2 linked regions of the Saccharomyces cerevisiae S288C genome follow. The protein of the gene in region 1 binds, or shares a complex with, the protein of each later gene. Each region holds a gene or a part of one and is shown in the gene's direction. Other genes may lie near its edges.

Region 1 (2,759 bases):
CTTTAGAGACAGAAAGACCTTAAGTTATGAGCTAGGTCCCTTGTTCAATACGGAGTTTACCAAATTTGTGAAAAATAATGCATCGATAATTTTAGAATCACTTGATTCACCGCTAAAAAATCTAGTTTCTGTCATAAATAACAAACTAACTAGACTAGTTGCCAAATCAGAAGTTACCAATTGGACACATTCCGGTAAAGAGATTCAGGATTTGTTAATGAACAAACAATTATACTACAATTTATTACTAGATAAAGTTCTTGAATCGCATATTAGTGAGATAAGAAGTATATTTGAAGATCCAAAAAAGAGCTGGCAAAATTTGGAAGTAGTTGAGCTCACTACTAGCAATACTAATACGATGAGCGAAAAAATTGGAAAAAATGATTCAGATGTACAGAACGAAAAAGAACTCCATAATGCCGTATCCAAAGATGATGATTGGAATTGGGAAGTAGAGGATGATGATGCCGATGCATGGGGTGATGAAATTGATGTAAATATTGACGACGAGGAAGAAAAAACAAATCAAGAGAAGGAAAAAGAACCAGAAGAAGAAGAAAATGCCTGGGATGAAGCCTGGGCAATTGACGAAAATATAGATGATGCTTCCCTAGAAAATGGAAAGGAACATTTAAAAGCTCATGATGTAGGATCACTTGATAAAGACCACATTGAAGTTACACAGTTACCAAAATTGTTCTTGGCAATTTCACAGAATTTCAAGAGTAGCTTTGCAGATAGCCATGTTGATGAGCAATACTTTGCGTACAAATACAACCTTTTGCAGACATCGTATATGGCCATGTGCACAGCTAATTTTTCTCACAATTGGTGCCAATTATATGTGGATATGAGATATCTAATAGAACGAGATGAAAAGCTGTATAGAATAAAAGAATTAACAAGGAACCTGCTGGAAACTAAACTGAACATGAAATATCGTATTGTCTGTCAACTAATCAGGCATCAATTGACCGAATTTCGTGAGAACGAGAGAAATCCATCGTGGGACGCCACCATTGAGAAACTGCTACCTTATATCTTGAAGGAAATTGTTCGTCCACTGCAGAAAATAAGAGGTGAAGAAGGTTCCCGTTACTTGTTGTCTTTCTTAAACTTTTTATATAACGATTGCGTGACAAAGGAAATATTAAAATGGCAGATTATCTCTGAGGTCAATTCCGAAAATTTGGGTGAGCTCGTATCTTTATTAGTGAACAACACCGATATACAATTATTAGCGAAGGAACCAAGTTACAAAAAGATGAGAGAAAAATTCGCCACTATGGGCAAGTTTCTACCATTACATTTAAAGGAGATTATGGAGATGTTTTACAATGGGGATTTTTATCTTTTTGCGACAGACGAACTAATCCAATGGATAGAGTTATTGTTTGCCGACACTCCCCTGCGAAGGAATGCCATTGATGATATTTACGAAATTAGAGGCACTGCTCTAGATGATTAAAAAATAATTAATCGTAGGATAGGTTACATGATCATTGCAATAGATGTACATCTTGTATTACGTATGCGTAAGTTGTCTTTTTTTCAGTTTTCTAATAAATTTCACGTGATGCGGTAGTTTTTTTTGGGGGTGCAAAGTTGGCACATCTTGTAGTGCATTTTTGAGCTTCTTAAATGACTTGAATCATCTTAAAACATTGCAGGATGAGATTTCCAACGACACAAGAGAGAACTAGCGCAAAAGATGGCAGAGATAAAACATTATCAATTCAATGTCGTCATGACCTGCTCGGGATGTTCTGGTGCAGTCAATAAAGTTTTGACGAAATTAGAACCAGACGTTTCCAAAATAGATATATCCCTTGAAAAGCAATTAGTAGATGTATATACTACACTTCCTTACGATTTTATTTTAGAAAAGATTAAGAAAACCGGAAAGGAAGTTAGATCTGGCAAACAATTGTGAATGAAAGTGAAGAGAAATAGTTTTTTACTCTATTTTGTATTGTAGCTACTTAAGTAAATGATTAATATTCTCAATAGGATGCTTACGAAGAAAAAAGTCTTTTTTTATTGTTTTATTGTTTTATTCTTTGTTGGCTATGTAGCCATTTGCCTTTTCAGTATAATCTTACTAATATAAAAATCTCAATCATGGTGAGAAATCGTTTTATAAGAAAAATGAAAAAAAACTTGTTTAAATCAAATCACTTATCATATTTGAAGAGTAAATGGAAAGTAAAGATCACTGGACAAATAAAAATGGATTTTGATAATTTACTAAACCTAGAAGAACAGTATTACCAAGAAGGTTTTCTGGAGGGCCAGAATGAGAATATAAAGCAGAGCTTTCTAGAAGGTAAACAGTATGGTTTACAAGTGGGATTCCAAAGATTTACGCTCCTGGGACAAATGGAAGGTTTGTGTGATGTTATAGAATCGTATGGATTGCATAGTCCAACACTAGAAAAGAATATACATACCATTCGTACTTTAATGAAAGGTTTGAAAATGAATAACGATGATGAAAGTGTGATGGAATTTGAGAGGGTGTTAATAAAATTGAAAAATAAGTTTAGAACCATTCTAATAACTCTTCATCGATTAGTTAAAGATAAAAGAACCCCCACCGTGACATTTGAAGTCTTTGAAGACGTTTCAAGGGCCATTGCCGGAGAAATTAGAGGTTTTGTAGAAAATGAAGACATCGCAAAGAATAAGACAAAACAAAATCAGGCTCAATCCTGGTAAGAATACCAAGTGAAGAACATTATCGCCGGCCGCCAAAA
Region 2 (5,827 bases), on another chromosome or scaffold:
AGTTGAACCTGTTGCTAATATACCTTGAGAAAAGTCAAAAGACCATATCTTTTCCTTGTAAAGTTTCAAAGACTTAATCAGATTGATAGACGCCATTACCAAATAAGTAAACCAATTGAACTATTAAAATGTCGTGGTATAGCCCGATTTTGATTTGTGATATCTACAAATCTAGTATTTATTCGCAATTAATGAGGCAAAGACGATACAATATTCGATGTGAGATTTTTCAAAACACGGCCCGCTGAGAGCAGAAAGTTTTAGATGACCTATTTGAAGGCAATCACGATGGTATTTTTCAAGAAAATAAATAGTAGTAACACTGCTATGCACATCAGAGTCAGATTCCTTAAATTCAAACGTTTCTACAATTAGTATGACCTTTTCTTGAAGATCTTTTTCTCCTTATAAAGGCAACACAAAACAAGATAGAAGTGCAAAGGTATTTTTTGTTTTTCACGTGATAAAATCGGCTTCGAGAAAGTAGAAAAGGGTATTATGATTTATTACAGGCTACCTGCACCATCTCAAAGGTTTTACGTTACTAAGGAGTGAATCAGGTTTTGATAAATATTTACACTATCTTTTACAAGGAAGATGTCGAATAAGCAGGCGGTTCTGAAGTTAATCAGTAAAAGGTGGATAAGCACAGTGCAACGTGCCGATTTTAAGCTGAATTCCGAAGCGCTTCATAGTAATGCTACGGTATTTAGTATGATTCAGCCAACTGGGTGTTTCCACCTTGGTAATTATCTAGGTGCTACACGTGTTTGGACAGACTTATGTGAATTAAAACAACCTGGCCAGGAATTGATATTTGGAGTTGCTGATTTACACGCTATCACTGTTCCAAAGCCAGATGGAGAAATGTTTAGAAAATTTCGCCATGAGGCAGTAGCAAGTATACTGGCTGTCGGTGTAGATCCAGAAAAGGCTTCGGTGATCTACCAATCCGCCATCCCTCAACACAGTGAATTACACTGGTTGCTTTCTACTCTTGCCTCGATGGGATTACTTAACCGCATGACGCAATGGAAATCAAAATCGAATATCAAACAATCAACTAATGGGGATTATCTGGTTAACGATTCTGACGTGGGAAAAGTTAGACTGGGCTTATTTTCGTATCCTGTTTTACAGGCAGCGGATATTCTACTTTATAAATCTACACACGTTCCTGTTGGCGATGATCAATCGCAGCATTTGGAACTAACAAGACACCTTGCTGAAAAGTTTAACAAAATGTACAAGAAAAATTTTTTTCCTAAACCTGTAACTATGTTGGCACAAACGAAAAAAGTTTTGAGCTTAAGCACGCCTGAAAAGAAAATGTCCAAGAGTGATCCGAATCACGACTCTGTAATTTTTTTGAATGATGAGCCTAAGGCAATTCAGAAAAAGATTAGAAAAGCTTTAACAGATTCCATTTCTGATAGGTTCTACTACGACCCTGTAGAAAGACCAGGCGTATCGAATTTAATTAACATTGTCAGTGGCATTCAAAGAAAATCGATTGAAGATGTCGTAGAAGATGTATCTCGTTTCAATAACTATAGGGATTTCAAAGATTATGTTTCAGAAGTGATAATTGAGGAATTGAAAGGCCCAAGAACAGAATTTGAGAAATATATCAACGAACCGACCTATTTGCATAGTGTCGTTGAATCTGGCATGCGCAAAGCGAGAGAAAAAGCAGCAAAAAACCTGGCCGACATTCATAAAATAATGGGCTTCTGACTGTCCCCGGCTTTAGGCTGCTGCAAACGCAATGTAAATAATAATACAGTTTAACTTGTACGTATCTTTGTTATTTCAGAATATGCAAGATTCCTCACTCGGCAGATCTCATCAATAAACGTTAGTATCTTGAAAAATACGCAGATGTTGGTACAGTCTCTTGCAGAGGGCCAGCACCGTTAGAATGTTGTGTTGCCACCGTCTGGCTCGAAAACAGGTCGATCTGTGTAAGTATTGTCCTGGGTGCAGTTATTTGTAGTAGCGATTTTCGCGGGCAGTGGAAAAGAACGGGTGCAGTGCGGCGATGAGTGCAATTAGCTGCCGAAGGGTTTGCACCGGTGATTCCGAGACCTTTTGCACACACTTGTATATATTTAGGGAAGTCACGGTAACTAATGGATTTCTTCTCAAATTTGAGACATATGGATTAGACTTTAATTCTGCCTGGTACTAAGCTACTTTTCAAAGGTATTTGAGATATTTCGTAAATTTTGCGGCCAAGGAGTTGAGGTGTTTAATACTTAAAACGAAATGAGAGAAGTGATACTTGCTGTACATGGAATGACATGCAGCGCCTGTACTAATACAATCAATACGCAGTTACGAGCTTTAAAGGGTGTAACAAAATGTGATATTAGTTTAGTGACTAATGAGTGCCAGGTGACATACGATAACGAGGTTACCGCCGATTCTATTAAGGAAATTATAGAGGATTGTGGATTTGACTGTGAGATACTAAGAGATTCTGAAATTACAGCCATAAGTACGAAGGAAGGACTACTGAGTGTACAAGGTATGACCTGTGGGTCTTGTGTTTCTACAGTCACCAAACAAGTGGAAGGCATTGAGGGTGTTGAATCGGTAGTCGTTTCCTTGGTAACGGAAGAGTGCCATGTTATTTATGAACCGTCCAAGACAACGCTAGAAACCGCCAGAGAAATGATTGAAGACTGTGGATTTGACTCAAATATTATTATGGATGGCAACGGGAATGCAGACATGACCGAAAAAACGGTGATCTTGAAAGTAACTAAGGCTTTCGAGGACGAATCCCCACTCATACTTTCTTCAGTAAGCGAAAGGTTTCAATTTTTGTTAGACCTAGGTGTAAAATCGATAGAAATTTCTGATGATATGCACACACTCACCATAAAATACTGTTGTAACGAACTCGGCATTAGAGATTTATTGAGGCACCTTGAGAGGACCGGATATAAATTCACTGTATTTTCCAATTTAGATAATACTACCCAGTTAAGGCTTCTCTCTAAAGAGGACGAGATAAGATTCTGGAAAAAAAACAGCATAAAATCCACCCTTTTGGCTATAATATGTATGCTATTGTATATGATTGTCCCTATGATGTGGCCAACAATTGTTCAGGACCGCATATTCCCTTACAAAGAAACCTCCTTTGTTAGAGGTCTGTTCTACAGAGATATTTTGGGTGTAATATTGGCAAGCTATATTCAGTTCAGCGTTGGTTTTTACTTTTACAAGGCAGCATGGGCATCTTTAAAGCACGGTTCAGGAACCATGGATACACTAGTTTGTGTTTCCACTACTTGTGCATACACATTTTCTGTGTTTTCTTTAGTTCACAATATGTTCCATCCCTCAAGTACTGGCAAACTCCCAAGGATCGTTTTCGACACATCAATCATGATCATTTCATATATTTCCATCGGGAAATATTTGGAAACTTTAGCTAAATCACAAACATCAACCGCACTTTCTAAATTAATTCAGCTCACTCCATCGGTGTGTTCAATTATATCTGACGTGGAGCGGAATGAAACCAAGGAAATTCCCATAGAATTATTGCAAGTGAACGATATAGTGGAGATTAAACCAGGGATGAAAATTCCTGCTGATGGCATCATAACAAGAGGTGAATCTGAAATTGACGAGTCGTTAATGACAGGCGAATCCATTTTGGTGCCCAAGAAAACTGGTTTTCCGGTTATTGCTGGTTCTGTTAATGGACCTGGACATTTCTACTTCAGAACTACTACCGTTGGGGAGGAAACTAAATTAGCAAATATTATCAAGGTAATGAAAGAAGCACAATTGAGTAAAGCTCCCATTCAGGGGTATGCAGATTATTTAGCCTCTATTTTTGTTCCGGGGATCCTAATTTTGGCAGTATTGACTTTCTTTATTTGGTGTTTTATTTTAAACATCTCGGCTAATCCTCCCGTCGCTTTCACCGCAAATACTAAGGCTGATAATTTTTTTATTTGCTTACAAACTGCTACTTCTGTTGTCATCGTCGCATGCCCATGTGCATTGGGACTTGCCACGCCGACTGCTATAATGGTGGGTACAGGGGTTGGAGCTCAGAATGGTGTCTTAATAAAGGGCGGAGAAGTATTGGAAAAATTCAATAGTATTACTACTTTTGTTTTTGATAAAACAGGTACCTTAACTACAGGTTTTATGGTTGTGAAAAAGTTCCTTAAAGATTCAAATTGGGTTGGAAACGTGGATGAAGACGAAGTTCTCGCCTGTATAAAAGCAACGGAATCCATTAGTGACCATCCAGTTTCGAAAGCAATTATACGTTATTGTGATGGTTTGAACTGTAATAAGGCTTTAAATGCCGTTGTTTTAGAAAGCGAATACGTGCTTGGAAAGGGAATAGTCTCAAAGTGTCAAGTTAATGGAAATACTTATGATATTTGTATTGGGAACGAGGCGCTGATTTTGGAGGATGCATTAAAAAAATCCGGATTTATTAACAGTAATGTCGACCAAGGAAACACTGTATCATACGTATCAGTAAACGGGCATGTGTTTGGCTTGTTCGAGATTAATGATGAAGTTAAACATGATTCTTACGCAACAGTTCAGTATCTACAAAGAAATGGATATGAAACGTATATGATTACTGGCGATAATAACTCAGCAGCAAAAAGAGTCGCTAGAGAAGTAGGTATAAGCTTCGAAAATGTTTACAGCGATGTGTCACCCACAGGCAAATGTGATCTCGTGAAAAAAATTCAAGATAAAGAAGGTAATAACAAGGTTGCTGTTGTTGGCGATGGCATTAACGACGCTCCCGCTTTAGCACTGAGTGATCTAGGTATTGCCATTTCAACAGGTACGGAGATTGCTATTGAAGCAGCTGATATTGTTATACTGTGCGGTAATGATCTGAATACTAATAGTTTGAGAGGACTGGCCAACGCCATCGATATTTCACTAAAAACGTTCAAAAGAATAAAGCTGAATTTGTTCTGGGCACTTTGCTATAATATATTCATGATTCCGATTGCTATGGGTGTGCTCATTCCTTGGGGCATAACTCTTCCTCCAATGCTCGCCGGTTTAGCGATGGCATTCAGCTCGGTCAGTGTCGTTCTAAGTTCATTGATGTTGAAGAAGTGGACTCCACCGGATATTGAATCACATGGGATTTCAGATTTCAAGTCCAAATTTTCGATTGGGAATTTTTGGTCAAGGCTTTTTTCTACGCGGGCTATTGCAGGTGAGCAAGACATAGAATCACAGGCCGGACTAATGTCAAACGAAGAAGTCTTGTAAATAACAGGTAAGTCTAATTTATTTAAAAAAATCCACGAGCATATAGATTTATAACAATAATAATAATTAATATTCATCAATTTTTTAGTAAATTCATATATTTTACTCCTACTCTATGTATTTTCAGTAAGTCTACTAGTCGTATTACCCGTCGGTTTCAAGGGATATTATGGAGGTAATAAGGATTTTTTTACCGATTTAAAAACCCATTATATCCCTCTTAGAAAAATTTTAGTATTCTTAGATAAGTTGCTAGATTTACCAATATCAAAGGGAAGACTGCAGGACAACACAAAAACACAAGAAAAGGAGGACAAAAAATGCAGGTTAAATCGATTAAAATGAGATGGGAGTCTGGTGGTGTTAATTACTGCTATCTATTGTCCGACAGTAAAAATAAAAAATCGTGGCTAATCGATCCAGCAGAGCCTCCTGAGGTTCTGCCAGAGTTGACTGAGGATGAGAAAATAAGTGTTGAAGCAATTGTTAATACACATCACCATTATGACCATGCAGATGGTAACGCTGATATCTTGAAGTATTT

Evidence for each region.
Region 2: the proteins of ATX1 (region 1) and CCC2 are in contact, whole or in part, in an NMR structure (PDB 2GGP), measured with the Saccharomyces cerevisiae proteins. Residues at the interface, in NP_014140.1 of Saccharomyces cerevisiae: Thr14 (codon at 1,754), Cys15 (codon at 1,757), Gly17 (codon at 1,763), Cys18 (codon at 1,766), Ala21 (codon at 1,775), Lys24 (codon at 1,784), Val25 (codon at 1,787), Lys28 (codon at 1,796), Lys59 (codon at 1,889), Lys61 (codon at 1,895), Lys62 (codon at 1,898), Thr63 (codon at 1,901), Gly64 (codon at 1,904), Lys65 (codon at 1,907); in NP_010556.1 of Saccharomyces cerevisiae: Cys13 (codon at 2,305), Ala15 (codon at 2,311), Cys16 (codon at 2,314), Thr19 (codon at 2,323), Gln23 (codon at 2,335), Glu60 (codon at 2,446), Asp61 (codon at 2,449), Cys62 (codon at 2,452), Gly63 (codon at 2,455), Phe64 (codon at 2,458), Asp65 (codon at 2,461).

What each region holds. Positions count from the first base shown.
Region 1 is NC_001146.8:156,821-159,579, reverse strand, and holds ATX1 (copper metallochaperone ATX1), read left to right. Parts: upstream 1-1,714; coding exon 1,715-1,936; downstream 1,937-2,759. Other genes in the region: DSL1 (Dsl1p), read left to right, coding at 1-1,471; ribosome biosynthesis protein LTO1, read left to right, coding at 2,233-2,721. UniProt on the Saccharomyces cerevisiae protein: Copper homeostasis factor that specifically transports copper to the secretory pathway for incorporation into copper enzymes destined for the cell surface or extracellular milieu.
Region 2 is NC_001136.10:1,003,407-1,009,233, forward strand, and holds CCC2 (Cu(2+)-transporting P-type ATPase CCC2), read left to right. Parts: upstream 1-2,268; coding exon 2,269-5,283; downstream 5,284-5,827. Other genes in the region: iron-sulfur cluster assembly protein CIA1, read right to left, coding at 1-96; tryptophan--tRNA ligase MSW1, read left to right, coding at 598-1,737; hydroxyacylglutathione hydrolase GLO2, read left to right, coding at 5,604-5,827. UniProt on the Saccharomyces cerevisiae protein: Copper-transporting P-type ATPase necessary for the proper uptake of iron. Required for export of copper from cytosol into extracytosolic compartment.